Drosophila melanogaster: one gene and its partner. The protein of the gene in region 1 interacts with the protein of each later gene in a pairwise test. Each region holds a gene or a part of one and is shown in the gene's direction. Other genes may lie near its edges.

The links.
Region 2: the proteins of gdrd (region 1) and CG13838 interact in a two-hybrid assay, tested with the Drosophila melanogaster proteins (2 studies listed by BioGRID).

What each region holds. Positions count from the first base shown.
Region 1 is NT_037436.4:14,689,628-14,692,462, forward strand, and holds gdrd (goddard), read left to right. Parts: upstream 1-1,719; 5' UTR 1,720-1,801; coding exon 1,802-2,143; 3' UTR 2,144-2,335; downstream 2,336-2,835.
Region 2 is NT_033777.3:23,034,521-23,048,235, forward strand, and holds CG13838 (uncharacterized protein), read left to right. Parts: upstream 1-7,720; 5' UTR 7,721-7,812; coding exon 7,813-8,088; 3' UTR 8,089-8,149; downstream 8,150-13,715. Other genes in the region: CG13833 (uncharacterized protein), read right to left, coding at 820-987; CG13837 (uncharacterized protein), read left to right, coding at 9,470-10,141; CG17121 (uncharacterized protein), read right to left, coding at 10,297-10,384, 10,453-10,578, 10,637-10,814, 10,881-10,953, 11,007-11,183, 11,242-11,397, 13,213-13,500.

The sequences.
Region 1 (2,835 bases):
TTTGTGGAGAGCCAGAGCCTAACGAACTGGGAAATGGTCTCTGAACATTCAATTATATCATCAATTAGTTGGTCGTGCAACATGTTGCAAGAGTGATTTGGACAGCAGATTAGGCAACAGCATGAGACCACTTGGCATAAACAAGGGTAGGGATTTAGAGGGTTTTTTCATATGTACATCTCTACTAATTTAGATTGATCGCGAGCTGTTATTTTAAATATTTAATGTGAAATATGTGCGTAAAAAAATGTCGATAAAACTCGTAACGAGTTTTATGTTATGATTCTGTGAAATATAAAAAACAGAGCTTTAACTGTTATAACATATAATGAGTTGGGTATTGTAAATATTAAATATTAAACGTATGGCTTTCTTATATTTCTTAATCAACTATTTATTTATTCCGAGTACATTTTATTTTTAATTTGTAATTTAACTTCAGTGACAGGATTTCTTTACAACATTTTTTCACCAGATTCCTACACTTATTTACAAAAACTTAATTTATCCCGTAGTTTATTACGCCCGAAGATACAAGCGAACAAACTAGAGCGAGCTGAAAAATGTTGCCTACTTAGCAGCGCAACGAGTTTTCAATAGAAAGCCCATAAAGTGAAAGACGTCGCAAAAGTCAAAGCCTTGCCACAAGCCAAATGCCAAATGGCATTATCAATAGAGGATTCAGCGAATCCCGGAAGATATAGAAAGCCAAGTGTGTGAATTTAACTTGGTGCAGTCATGAACATGCATTCGCAGCTACAGCTCCATATATACATCTTAGTATGTGTGTAGTGCCATGCCATTTATTCCATTGAACAAAAAGTCATTTGTAAGTGTTTTTATGCGTAACGGAATTTATGAGGAGCAGTTCCTCAGCAGATTTATTGCTTTATTACGATGTGGCAGAGCGATGGGTATCAAGATGGGAATCCAGTTTGGCGACAAAGGCCAGAGAAAAATAAAGAAATGGCTGGCAAATATTTAGCACATGGAGGCGAAAAACTCACTGAAAGAATGATGGCAAAGAGCCATGGGAAAAGGGGAGGGTTAAGGGGAAAATGGCGAGAGAATGAATGCTGCATTTCCTCCCTTTTCGGCTTTTGTCTCTCTTTTTCTGCGTACGGATTTTCCTCGAATGGTGGCGGGCTGTGGGTGGAACGGGTGGACGGAATGGGGTGGACCTTGAGGGCGTTTCACATCGTCGACATCGTCATCAGCATCATTCTCATTGCAGTCGTTAAGTTATAGACTTTGATTTCGTTCGCCTCGTTCAGCTGTGGGGAAACTTTTATCCTCACTGCCACCCAAAGTGCGTCCTTTTTGGCAGAGTCGTTTCAGAGATTTATTTGCCTTGTGCCCTGGCAACTTTCGACTCTCGACATCCATATCCGTATCGTTTGCTCTCCTCGCTCTTAAATTGCTTTAATTGATTTCTGATTTTATGACCCTGCTGAACACATTTCACACATGATTACATGCCAAGTGGGTTGCGATTTCTTAAGAGGTTTTAAATCCGTCTATTCTTAATTTTGAAGATAATTAAAACGTTGGTTTTAAATAAAAAATATAGTTTGATGTGTCGCTTAATTAAAAATGTTTCAACGTTGTGACCATCTACTCATATTTATGGAGTTTGGATTAATACTATTGTTTATTGTATAGAGTTACTATATCAAACATGCTGCTCTCGATTTTGTTGTCAGTATAAATTCTGTCTTTGATCTGTTTGCACTTAAGTCTGTTCTAGTTCACAGCTCCTGAATAACTATTGAAATTTCTGAAATATATTTTTTTTGTCAAAATGTCGGACGACGGATCTGATATATTCCAAGACCTTGAAAGCTACGAGCCCTATACAGAAGGTAGCCAAAACAATAGTGACGAAGCAACTGCAGTGGGGCCTCTCGATACCTCTGAGGACGCTCGCTTCTCCGAGCAGGTATTCTCGAACATTCAGGAGCGTCTGAACCGAATCATTAATCGCATTAGCATGGCCAACTCTGCCGTGGTCCAGATGAAGAGGAAGCTCCATGCTCGAATTCCATCCGTACCTGTTGGCGAAAACGCCGACCAGTTGGCTGGAGGCGATAATCCAATGCGATTTGAAAACGTCGAACAAGAAAACGAAACCACCAACCAATGATATAAGAACATTTTTATATTTCTCATTTTCAAAAATGTATAAATTTATTGTATTTATTTATTGTTATTGTTATTGAAGCCCATTTAACAAATCACAAACAGACCCGAGTTAATTGTTAAAAAATTATGCATTAACACAAGCCAAGGATTCGAAAACTAAGCGCATATAATAAACTGAGCAATGAGCAAAAGCAATACATTGTATACTGCCCTTATCGCCATAATCTAAACTATTTTCAACGATATTTGCAATTTATTAGTGGCCCTCCACACACAATTGCCAAACTTGCTTTCATTCGGTCCACAAACTTTGTGGACTTCTTTTCGGCGCATAATAAACTTTTCATTGACCGCCCTTCAAAAATGTTACCCCAAGCAATTTCGAGCAGCTGCATATTGTCAGGGGGCCTTTTGTTTTGTCGAAAACTTTGCAAAGTCGGAAAATTTGAGACTGAAATTTGCATTTGCCTTTCGCCACATTCACATAGAAAGACGAATTGCCTTGGAGCCAAACAAATATGTTAAAAGCAATAAATAAGAAAGGACATTCTTCAAGTTCGTCGTCTGCCGCTCGAGATATTGGCAAAACGTATTATATGCGATAAATTTCGACAGAAAGCTGAAGTCCGATACTTATCAGTGGAAATGAAGCCAAACATAATTTGCCATAAAATGCCGTTGCAGCGGCATTAA
Region 2 (13,715 bases), on another chromosome or scaffold:
AAACAAAGTTTTATGTGTTTAAATTGTGATTTAAATTAAATTCAATTCAAATTTAAAAGTAAAGAAAAAACGTTATATAATAAGCGAAAATTATTTCATAAAAATGACCTAATAAGCTAAATTGCGAATATACTTGCAACATTTCCTGAGTGAAATAAAAATAAAATTGAATTTAAAAGCTGTTTTTAAAATAAACTAAAGCAGAATCATTTGTTGGTTGATACCCCCGCTCTACATGTATCTCAATAATTGAATCAATTAATCTTTTCAAATCGGTTCAAATTGTGCCAGTTATTCCAGTTTATTACGTTTTTAGTAAATCTGAGTAAAGGGCCACATACTTTAGTTGCACAATAGCTCTAGCCATTTGTAAGTGGAATACAAATTAAAATGATCATTTAGAATTGCGTCAATATGTGCGCAAATGGAAATTTAAATGTATGAATAAACTGTCAAATTAGCAGAATAATGACTGTCCACCGTTTGTTCTGAATTAAAAACTGCAATTGCACGAATTTAAGAGCAAATTAATGTCTTTGACCATTAACCCTACCAGGTTCTGCATGGAAATCCATTAGGTTTTCGCCAACCAGGTTAAAGGTGCCTAATTCGTTCTGTATCTGATTATAATTGAAGCTCATAGTTTGCAGATACTTTTAGTAAGAACAACAAAACATTGCTAATATTACAAAATACATCCATACATTGTCTGAAATTTATACGATTCACTGACTTCTCAACTATCATGTAACTAATACGCTTTCGACAGCCAAGTTTATATGAAATTTTGTTTATCTCATCTATTTGGACCAAACTCACCACGGCCACTTCTCCCGCGATACTTTTCGGCGCCGAGCACCAGCAGAGTTTGGCGATCAGTCGGCCGAGTAGTGCTACCAAAATGAGTAGTGGCGTTATGGCCGCCAAACCGATCAGTGCGATTATGGCCTGCAGTTTTACCAGAGTGTTTCGTACTACTTCTGACATTTTTCTTATTTTTTAACCACCAACTTTTGAGTCACAACCGTGCCGAGAGAATGGCGAAAACGCATTGAATCGCAAGTCGCGAATCTCGAGCCGTCGAAAGCGGATCGATCGGCAAAACTGGCTTGCCGTCGAGATTGCAATTCGAGTGTATCCACAATTGACCCGGTTCGCGGTGTTCGGCAATTAGCCGCGACTTTCAGCGGAACCCCACCAAATGAATGCGAGCGTGTGGCAAGCGTCCATTTACACACCTCACCTATTAACCAGCGCGACCTCAACTCCCTGGCCATGTTTTTGGAGCTCTGGAGTTGGGGGTTATTGTCAGCAAATAAACAGAAAAGTCACCTCCTGCACAGATGAGACAGTCGCGGCATCGCACCAGCAGCCCATTAGTAATAAATAAATGCCACTTTTTTTTTTTTGACTACAACTACAAGTGTGTAGCAGCTCCACATATCCAAACAAATATACTCGTGTATACTTACTCAATAAATGTGGAAACAAAAAAAAAGCGGAGAGATGCCAACGAAAAAATGATTTTCTGACAATAAAGTGGATATATCCATAAACGAAGCGGAGCAGCAGAACATATAGAAACGTATGGGAAGGGGGGAGAGTACCAACGATATAGACAGCCAAAGGATAATTTTATATTGCGGGTGGGAGGGGGAAATGCAGTGGAAGGGGAGAGGGGGCGAGTGCCGGCTGTGGTTTTAGTTAAAAATAACAAAGAGCGAGCGACAAAAACGAGATTCGTGAAAAACGTATATTTCATATTCAGTTTTTCTTTTCGCAGGGTGCTTCAGCTGCTCCATAAAGCTTGCCGTTAATTTTCAGGGTAATGAGAGTATTACCGATGGAGTAATGTGCAAAAACGATTTACTATATATATATATACCGCTGAGATTGAGCGATAAAATAATTCAGGTATATATTATAGTTGTGACGAACTAAAATGGGATTCATCGGAACATGAAAAAATATATATATACTTGTATTTACATACATCATACAAATTATTGTGTAGCTAGTATTTGTTAAACAAATATATAGTTATCTAGTACGACTGTCACAGTATCTCTGAACTTTTTAGACACATTTTTTTCTAATTTAAAGGGTATCCATTAGTCGCTGTTGCATGAAATTAGATTAGTTATACCCACACACACATCCCTTTCTTCTCCCACTCCCGCTGGCAATGGCATTTTAATAGAGTTTTAGCCGGGCCAAGGTGCTGCAGCAATCGGGCAGGTTAACCCCACCCCTCTCCAGCAACCCCTTTATTTTTCTGCCACCACCCCCTTTCCCCTTGAACCAGCACTTGCGACACTTTTGGTTTTGTATCAATTTATTGCACTCGGCGCACTCGAGGGCATGTGTCGATCGCTGGCGGAATCGCTTTGGTTCACTGCAAATGAAAACGACCCCAAAAACCAATACATACATACATACATATGCAGCCTGGAATGCCTCCTTAGCTTCGTTTCCATGCGCATTTTGGCGCAATTACGAATCCTACTTCTTGGCTGTGGACCTGCATCGCCCTTCTTATTTTATTTTATTTCTTTTTTTTTTTACTCCGCTGCACGTGATGCAATTTTGTATTTATTTAAGCGCAGCACTCGCCTTCGGATGTTGCCAAAATCGGGTCACACTTTGTGCACGTGGTGCCGCCGCGCTTTGCATGCGACTTTTTTGCGGCTATTGGACTCCGATGATTTATGGGCGAGGCGTCTGCGTATTTGGTGGAGCAGCAGCAGCGGGAGGAGCACATGGCACTGGCTGCCTACTCCTTTCCATTTGCCCAATCTTCCCAATCTGCGGTGGCAAGCTATAAAGATAGCGATACTCGAGTGTTCCACTGCGAGCCCCTTAATTGTCAAAACTCCGTGCCACTCAACGCTGTCCCGCCAACAACACTTCAGCTCCAGCTCAAAGGGTACTCAAAGAACACCGGAGGTGGAGCGAAGGATCGGGAGGTGCTGCTCAACTCGGTGATCCAAAAAAAACTAGCCAAGCATTATATTGAAAATATTGGAGTTCAATATGTTAAAAAATTGCATCGGTACTATATATATATGTTATTTTTAAAGTCTATGCTTAAGCAATCTTTAAATCGTATTTTATATTACATCTTAAATAAGCTACATAATTTATAATATTTTGTTAATAAATAAAAAATTCTCAATTAATTCAGTTCATTACCTTGAAAAATAGCTAAATTCGAGAGGAAATCATCTCAATTGACTGCTCGGTGGTGGAGCGAGAGCCGCACAAAAAATGTAGCAAAGTGCTTAAGGTAAAGGATTAGTGGTGGTTAAACCTGTGCACCGAAGTTTCCCACGGCAAAGGATGAACCGCTGGCAGGATGGAAACGGAATGAGATGGCCGGAATGAGAGAATGAGAGGCCGCAGCTGGCGGAGGAAAGTGAAAAGTGTCGAGAGGAGTTTGAGTGCTCAAACGCGCTAATCTCGATGGCATGGCTCTCCGTTTTTTCCATTAGTTTTGTAATATTTCACATTAGCATGTCGGCCACTCAGAGCTTAGGACTCTTGTAAGGAACCAAAGAAATATTAAAAACCAAAAAAAAAAAGAAACACAAAAAAGGTGGAAAGGCAGAAGGGCGAGGCAATTTCTCAGCGCGGCTGTCAACACCAATCTGAAGTGCTACCGCGAGAGCAGAAACAGCAGCAAGTGCAGGACATAATGAGACACGGATAACAGGCCATTTCGATTATTATCCTTGGAACATGTGTTCCAGTTTAGTACAGCAACGCAACAAGTGCACCGCGGGCCGTAAAGTAAATAAATTAGCCGGTCGTGTAATGCACAAGAATCCGTAGGATCGAAAACATTCTGCAACATGACACTCGGCCAGGATTCGAGGAGCTACCGCATCAGGATGCTGCTTCGGATGTGTTTGTTTAGGTGCAAGGATAACGCATTCTCACGCCTGCCGGGAGCAGCCAAGCAACATGGATGCCTTCTAACCCAAATCCACTTGAACCCACACTGACAGTCGAATGTCATAATTCAGCGGCGGGAAAAATGCGCGGCAGGTTGCCAGGATAATCAAGTTGCAGCTCCCGCTGCCGCTGTTTGTTTAGCTGAGGTTTTCATTTTCCCCATTTTTATTTTCCATTCATTTTTTTTTTTTTATAGCTCCCGAAGATTTTATTGCCGCCCGGGATGGGATAATCCCTATTGACATATTTATGCACGGTTCAAGCAACGAAATGGAAATTTTTGGCGTCGCATGGCTCGCTGGCATTTGCCTTTCGCCTTTCACGGGGGCGTGGCAACGAGCTAATGGGCACCACATGTAAGTGTCTCTAGGTGAATGAATTAATGTCCCGCCTCCAGAAATGCTCGGAGTTTCACACAGAAAAAATGGATGTTATGAAACTAAAAGGGTATCTAGAAGCACAAAACTCACTTTCTATGTGGGATTGTTGTAGTTAGTACTTCGAGTACTTTGAATTTTCTTCCGTGCAGCAGCATTTCCCCTAGTCTAAGTTCGAGTTCAAGGTGCAGCACATGGCTGTCGAGCTGTGTGGGAATTATCTAAGGAAAATACGTTACGGCGGGCGGCCAAAACACCTGTGTCAATGCCGGCAGATCGGGCGTTGCGCTGCTTAATTCTTGTAATTAATTTTGCGTGCCACAGACAGAGACAGAAGCAGACTCGCACACAGAGATAAACACACAGACGGCGGAATGGTGGAATAGGGACAATGGAGGATGTCCTGATGCACGGCATTAACTGAGCATGCAAACGATGCGTCAACGATGGTACTCGGCCCAGGCAGCTAACGCTATTATTTACACAACAAACACTTGTAATTACACAAAGGGCGGCGGCGGTGGCAGGAGGGTCCTGCAGGAGCAGGACGGAGCCGCAATTAAAAGCGAAAGGATAAACACAAATAAATGAGCGACACAAAAGGGGCAGACACGGCAAAGACAACTCGGCTGTAGCTGACTTGGCCCACTGCCACTGCCAGTACTGGCTTCCACTACTGTTCGGGCCAAGACAAAGGCAACACTCTGGGCCCAAAGACAACAATGACAAGCGGACGGCATTAAATAATTGCTCATACACGAGTGTTACGCACAAAAGCATTTAGAATGGCACTGGCCGAGGCACAGGAAGTGAAACAGGACGAGCCGAGCAAAAAACTGTCCAGCACGTGTTGCAGCTCGTCTCGGAAAACCCAACCATGTAATCCCAGCCAAGCCCATTCCAAACCATCCCAATCCGATGCGATTCCAAGCGCCTGCCGCCACCTTTTCGGCTTCGGTGTGTGAAAACTAGTTAACAGCTTTTATTTACTTGGCAAACAGACTGAAACGTTGTAAAACAACAAATGCTTAAGCCGCAGGATATAAGCATAACAGCACTCACCAGCACACACGTCCTTCCACTGCGGAAAAAAAAGAAGGGATTATTATGATGAATTGCATGCACGTCAAGATTTGTGCTTAAGAAAATATTGAGCTAAGATGCAATCTTGAGGATTTACACTTTGAAATGGGTATTCCTAATTATGTTATGTTATATATATCATGTAGACAGATGGTTAGACCAAGTAAGGCACCATTCCAGTTTGTTCCAGTTTGTTTTCTTCAATAATTTTTTGAATCTTCCCTAATAGTTTCTTGCCGTGTATGCCACTCGGGGCACGAACACGACCAGCTTGGTCAAAAAGTCCACGTTGTCCGCTGTGGTCAGCGGCATGGAGAATGGAGACGACGCTGATGGAGGCGAGCGTGCAACTGACTGCGGCGCTCGGACATCTCATAACCAAAGTGAAAAGTTGGAAAACAATAACGGGCAGCGATGCGGGGCACACATGTCCTGCCTGAGCAATCGCCTCCAAAGCAGTGTCCTTCGGCCAGGATGGCCACAACCAGTGCCGGCAGCCAGGGAAGAGGCTACACAGCGTGACAAAGTTTATGGACCACAATGGAGCTGCAGCTCACTTAGTATTCTCCGCTCGGATATAAGCTCGGTAAGGACATTCAACGTGGCACAACGACCAGGACTACTACCACACACATAAATTATATGCCTTTATTTGGGCAAAACAGTGTAAAACGCAAATGCAACCTGATGACAACAACAGGCTGCGTTATGCAGCAACAACAGAACCAGAAGAAGCCGGACCCAAAGACGTGGCAACAATGAGACTTTTCGGCAAACAAACGAGGCAAACTAAGAGCGCTTTTCAACTAATGACGACGAGCAGTAACAAAAACGTTTTCAAACTGGGCGGCGGCAACAAGTTGAGCCGTTTAGATTTAGAGCTTGTAAAGTGTGTGCGGAAAATTCAATAACCAAGTGATAACAACCTCAAGAACAGATCCAAGTTAACCCGCTGGAAGACCAGGAAAATCCACACAACCACTCGAGCTGAAGGATATCGGCAGGGTAAATGCACAAATGCATATGCATACATAGATGTATGTGTATGCGTATGTAGGCAGGCCGGAGAGATGACAACAAAAGCCAGCTTAATGGCAATAATAACAGATTTTAGCCAACCACAAAGAAAACGTCAACAGAGGCATACTTTTTGGCCACCATGCTGGCAGCAGCAGCAGCAGCAGTTCGGTTAATGGCAGGAAGTTCACTTCACAGCCAGGACGACACATCCTTGCAGCAGTCACTTTGAATGAAAATTCATTAAGTGAAAATGCCTAAGCCAGCAGATGAAACAGAAAGGAGCAGCAGTCCATCCTCTTAATAGCCGAAAAAAAAGACCGCATCGTTGGACAAGCAACCACATCCATCAGCCGGCCGATTGGCTCAATTTGCATGCAATTAAAAATAAATTGAGGCACCTTGTTCTGCGGCTAAACTAAATAGTGGCACCGCATTCGGTGGAGCCCACTTCCAATTTTCAGTACCAAACTGGTGCGGGGGTGGGGGGGAACGCGACCACCGCAGTATGGGGCCAAAAAAATTGATTTCAACTTCGGTTGCCGCCGCGTATTTATAGGCTGAATTGTCATTTTCTCCTCTTTTCTGGTTGCTGCATTTTTTTTATTATTTACTTCAACCCAATCCTGAATGCTAACAAAGAGTTCTCGAAAGGAGAGCGTAAAACAAACAAATCACGGACCGATATGCACACATAAAAATTCATAAATATTCTATTTTGAGTTGACATTTTGACAAGTGAATATGAATATTGCAGTCGCAGCGCACAAATTTATAATTGATATGTATAAATAATGGACAAAGCCATTTTGTAAATGGGTTTAATGAAATGAACGAGTGTAGCTCTTGTAATAGCTCGCCAATTACAAACAAAGCAAAACAAACAATAGTCGAAAAAGAAGAGTGGACTTTCTGGTGCCCTGGGCGCAAATATTTTTCAAAACATTTAATTTATTGTATTTGAAAAGTTGTAACGATTTTTCAAAAATATCCTCCTAAAATGGCAAGCAATTTACTTTCATTTTTTTAAGCAATAGACTTTAATAAACGTTTGATGAAAAAAAAAAATCATCAAGTTCACCCATTTAATATACCCCTTAAATCTCAATTTACAGGTGCCATCGCTTAAATAAAATATACTTAATATTTCACATTTGGCGTTAAAAGCAAAAGTACCCAAAAGCCAGTTAGCTGCAATTACAATTAAATTAAATTGGTTTATGGTAAGCAACTTTAATTATGTTCGATAGCAAAACAAACCAAGTCAAATTTGCTTTACACTTCGGATCGCATGGCACAAAATAACACCGAAAATCATGATTTAGGGTGAAAAAAATTTAAATTTAAATCGAAAGTTGTTTTCCCAGCCCTTAAAGCCCAGATGGACAGCGCCGATGAGCAGCTGCAGCTGGATCTGGACAGGATATCGATGGAGAGTCGCCAGGCCAGCAGTTTCGATGACCTCATCGAGCTGACCAACAACTCGGAGCGTCTGATGGCCAGAGTCAATTCCAGCTTGGATGACCTAAACACCGCCCTCGACAACCTGGAGGCTCGAACGGACCGGGTTCTGGTCGAGATTCGGAGGCTAATCAGCTCGGAAATGCCGGCACAAGGTCCGCACGATGGATGTGGCGATCCAGATGCCAGGGCGTAGGCGGGCGAATGGCTGTGATACGTAATGTGATAATAAATAAATGTATTTTATTTTCATATCGAAATCAATTGATGCTCAACTGCTCATAGGAATTGAAAAGTGATTGGTCGTAGCTCTTCTTCGGTTTCGAATCGAATGGGGATCGAAAACTTCGCGGGGGCATTGAGGCCATAGAGGCAGAAGATCCATAAAACGCCCGACAGTTTGTTTGTTTTTTATGAGAACTGTAACCCTAGCACACAAATAATTAGTGAGCTATTTTTATGGATCTTCGGATGCGGGGCTGCGCATGCGCAATGCGCATTGAGCAGAAGTATCAAGGTGCTGGGGGTCTTCATCCACAATCTTAATTAGAATTTACATACATTTTCAATATGCGTGTGTGTGTGTGTGTGTGTGTGTTTTGTATTTGTGCACATGTTGCACTGCATTTGAAGATCTCGTCGTGCACTTAATCACTTGAGCCGTCGGCACCATATGGGGTCCTTTCTTTTACTTCTTGTTGTCTGTGCCCCGCGGCATCTGGTGCATGGTATATGTAGTAGACTGAGCGGTATAACCTGTTAATCAGATATGCAGATTGACCCAAAAATTATGCCACAAAGCAGCTGCTGGGCGACAGCGTTTAATTGACAATTAATAAAACTTTTAATTTGAGCCCAATTGGCACATTGCACATTATGGTAATGGTAATGGTAGTGGGGTAGCATGGTAGTTGGTCAATTGGATAATGCCCACAGATCCCAGCCATTTGCACTGGTAATTCTTCATTAATCGGCTACGCAATCATTTACGTAAAGCGCAGAGCCACCAAACCTAATTGCAAGTTATGAATATCTCATCGGATATTAAATCGATGGCCATCGCTTAACTCCGACCAGCAACGACCACGATGACGATGGAAATAATAATGAGGATGACTGCGATGAATGGATTGAATGGCCTGAATGGTATCGTTCGACGACCATCCATCCGTCCGTTTATCCGTCCATTTGTCCGCTTGTCCGTCCGTTTGTCCGCTTGTCCGTACGGAAGTGGCGACACTTAATTGCGAATTGAGTGCATTTTCAATTTTTATTGAACCGGCGCCCAGTCGAGCATTATGCTGCGGTGTGGTATCATTAAATACTCGGTTGCTTTGCTGCTGCTGCGAAGTATGCTACGAAAATGCAAATTACCGAGACCGCCCAGAGTGGGCGTGGCAGTTACTGCCATGTGCTCATTAGCGGTATCTACCAGACGATAACCAGCGTAGTAATCGATGGAATAACTTGTCTTCTTTATCAGTTGGAGCACATGCAAAAATATACTCAACCCATCATCGATGAAGTCAGTCTACAGAAGTCATCCCGCTATTTCGGTCGTTAAAAAAATAAATGAAATGGGAGCTGTAACCTTCTTAACAATTATTTTGGTGACCTTGCTGGGTCATCGATCCAGTGCCCTGGAGTTCGAAGAGTGTGCCAGTGCTCCACAATTGGGAGTTTATGTCGCCAGCTCTAGCAATTGCTCCAAATACATATATTGTGCCGGTCCAGGATCCTTTGAGGCCGAGTGCTTGGATGGTCATTACTACGACGAAAAATTGGAACGCTGTTTGGATCGAAAGTTGGTGTCGAGATGCCGGGATCCCGTAGGCATAACCACTAAATCCCCCTCGATGGTCAAGAAGCCAGCTCAGAAAGCGGAACCATTGGCGATTACCCTGCGACTTTTACCCAATGCCGGACCATGTTATCCTTATATGGTCTGCTACGAGGGGGCTGGACTGGCCAAGGCCTGTACTCCTGCTCATCTAGTGTCCTGCAATCGCATGCAAACGCGAGAGAATATCATCAACTGCCAGGAGGGAGTCTATGGCTTTATGCCACATCCACGGAACTGCGCCTACTTCTACTACTGCTCCAGTGGCTCCAAGCTGGTCCATCGATGCCACTTGAACTACACTTGGCACTACGAACGGAGGTCCTGCGTCCAGCAGTCCGAGAGGATGTGCTACTCCGAACAACTTCGGCTTATACGAAATAAAATAGGAAAGGCCAACCGGACGTAATTCTAATGTTAGGATATAGATTTAATTTAAGTTAAAGATTCGTATAAATAGCTAAACATGTACACCTAGCGTAAGCAACAGTTGAATAAAGAACTGCAATTGGGAAACAAACAGGAGTAAATGCTTCTGGGTGGGGATGTGCCTTCTCCTGTGCCCTACTTCCAGTAAAACAGGTGGGAGCTGCGCACATCGAAGTGGTAGAAGCGAAGCAGCATGTAATCCTGCCACTTGGTGGGCAACAGTCTAAAGCAAGGCGACAACAATAATCGTTAGAAATAATCGCTGGTTACCTGGGCTAATTCAATTCTCACCTGAGCAGCCATACACTGAGTGCGAATATTTTTGGCACATACACCATGCGCTCGTTCAGCAACACGCCCTTGACAATCTTCTCGGCCACATATGGTGTGGGCAGTCCGGGATAGCTCTTGGCAATGCTAAATGTAGTAGCCGCATGAGACCAAGTGATCTGCCCAAACTATAAACCAATCTTACCCCGCATCACTGAGCAGTGGAAGATCTCCGCTGGTCCTCATCAGATAGGCATTGGCCACCGTGGTGCGAACGTAGTCACAGTCGGACAATCGCAGCTCAGCTCGCAGCGATTCCATGAAGCCCTCGATTCCGTATTTGGTGGCCGTGTAGATGCCCGCTCCTGGCAGTGGAACTAGACCTAAATGCGAGTTATATATACATAGGTATCAATGAAGTGGTAAGCACTTTAACCAAGTAAGCTTACCCGCTAAGGCATTTACTGCCACCAGATGACCGGACTTGCGGTTTATCATCTTCGGCAGGAACTCCTTGGTGGTCTGCAAAATCAAGAAGTTTTATATTTGTCCCATTTTCAGAAGCACACACTCACCATTATGTAGGAGCCCAGATTGAGCTGCAGTATTGTGTCGATTTCATCGCTCTTCAGACTGGGTGTTGAAGTCATGGGCATGAGGGAGGCATTGTTGACCAGAATGTCCACGGGACCCAGTTCCTTCTCCACCTTGGCGGCCATCAGTTGAAGCTCGCGAGGCGATGACACGTCGTTCTGGAATAAAGATTCTTGTTATCAAACCATTAAATATCCAAGCAGCTAGTGAACTCACCTTGTAGGCCTTGGCAACGCAGCGTGGAATCTTGGAGAGCAGCTCCACCGTTTCGTAACATCCCTTGGAGTTGACATCAACGACGGCCAGCTTGCAGCCCCGCCGCGCCAGTTCCAAGCAGATCTCGCGACCCAGCCCACTGCCTCCGCCGGTCACCTGGGTTTAAATCACAGGTTACTCACATTACACTCGTATACTCAAGTAAATTAATTAGCTTAATTTGCAAACAATCAACTCGAGCTAATGTGACTTCGCATTGAACAAAAACCTCATTTACGGACAATTATGTGAGCAGCAGCAACAGCGGCAGAGGCGACTTATGAATGGCATTACTCATACGCTCGGTGGGCCGACCCTCTGGGGCACAATTGAGTGACTTTTGACCGTAATTGAAGCCCACTGGGTGACCTCAGCCGCCGTTTTGGGTGTGCGGTAGTTGGGTGAATCGAAATGTAAGCCGGAATGAGTTCAATTCAGAGTTTGGCACGTTAGCGACTAGCAATGGGGAAAACAATAACAAATGCGCAGTTGTTGTGATTATAGAACAGCCGAAGAATTTCAATATCATATGCAAATTAACAGCGGCAACAGTAGTTGAGTTTTATCTACGCATCTGAGAGATACCCGGCATGCTACACACTTGCAGATACTTTGGCCCATCGAAATTCTACACTCTATTGTTTGTAAACACAAACATTAGACTGAAAACAAAAGTGAACTTTCTGAGGTTTGCATTTTTGCGCTCTTTTCGTTCATCTTGGAAATAAATATAGCGACACACGCAAAACCAGTTTGCAGTTGGCCGTTGGCCAGTGGTGTCGAAAAAGGGGGTATTTTTGAGCTGAAATAACTCGAATTCCGCAACCATGATGTCAATAGAACTTATCAACGAAAGTCAATCTTATAATTAAGTTGCTGCTAACAGTTGGCATGGGAATTCTCCAGTCCCTGCCACCCGAAAATACCACTGTGCAACCGCAACAAAAATGTATCTGTATGTGTATCTGTATCTGAGAAAACGATATCTGAGGGAACGATCGAAAAAAAAAGCTGAGACTAAAACAAAAGTCGGGCCGCTGTGAATCATTAATACGCTACGTGAGACGCTTATGGCCGGCACACGCCCACTATAAAAAGCCTGAAAAGCATGCTAATGGGTTCCGAATTCGATCAGGTTCTTTACGATATGGAGCATCGGCAGCGGCATCATCACTTGACCTTGTCCAGTGGCATTGGCGCCCATTGGCAATTGACTTCTCCATAATTCGACGCCCCAAGATGCATATGTGATTATTGGAGCGCGATATGGTTGCCATGAGCACGATTTCAGCTGGAGATTCACTTTGATTGCAGCGCTTACAGCGAAATTATGTCACATTAACTGTCCGTGGCACCAAAGACGCGGCTCTGTGGACACAACTAAACAATTGGCCAACAACTAACCAAGCTGGGCACCAAACGCATAAATATTTACATTAATAACACAGTACTAAGCGATCGACCGCACCCTAATGGCAGTGACATCAAAAAAAAAAAAAAGAGGAGAAATAAAAAGCAAAGAAAAGCGGGAAAGGGGAAAAGGTGGGTGAGCCAAAGGTGGGCGTGGTGGAAACCCGGAGGCAGCCACTGGAAAAGGAAAGTGCGTGACGTTTCTGGTTGGCTAAGTAGTCGTCAGATACAAGATCACTTAGAAGCGGATACTGGGAAAACAAATTCACATGAAGCCAACGATTAAAGTATACCATTACCAATTTCTTTACGAAGTATCTGAACCTAATTTGGTACCCAAAGATGTATCTAAACACAGACATATATCTCTTTTTTAATGTCAGTACTTAACATGAAATGCGACTGCATTTTCTAAGTGCATCCATGTCTGATGTGCATCTGACTAGCCTTATTAATGGCTCATTTGCCAGACGCTCATTGCAGCCATTTGTTAGCCCCAATGGGCACTCGAATGCAACTCACCAGTGCCACCTTGCCACTGACATCCTTCTCCTTGAGTCCCAGCGCGAATAGGTAATCCAACAGGTGCTTGAGAAAGACGGCCAGCAGGACCAGAGGCAGGAGGAGCAGAAAGACGATGACTTTCAGATTGAAGATGGCCCGGGTGGTCTCATCGTTGCGATGCGCCTGCGCGGCCGCCTGTGTCGCGGTGGGCGTGGCCGAGGCAGTGGGTCCTGTTACCGTTACTGCACCAGCCGGAACGGCGGTGGTGGTGCGGGTTATGGTCGTTGTCGTTGCCGTCTCCACCATCACTCACAGCTTGTTGCACCCACAATTGGCTAATATGTGATATGAGATATATGTATCTGTATCTCAAATATCTCTGTTTTTAGCCCAGAAATTTTCGCGGTCAAAGCAAATATGGCACTCGCGGCGACTCCAAAACAGCTGCAGCGCGTCGAAGATCAGGCAGCAGACTAAAAACGCCAACAAGCGACTGCGAATGCCAAACTACGTGTACAAGC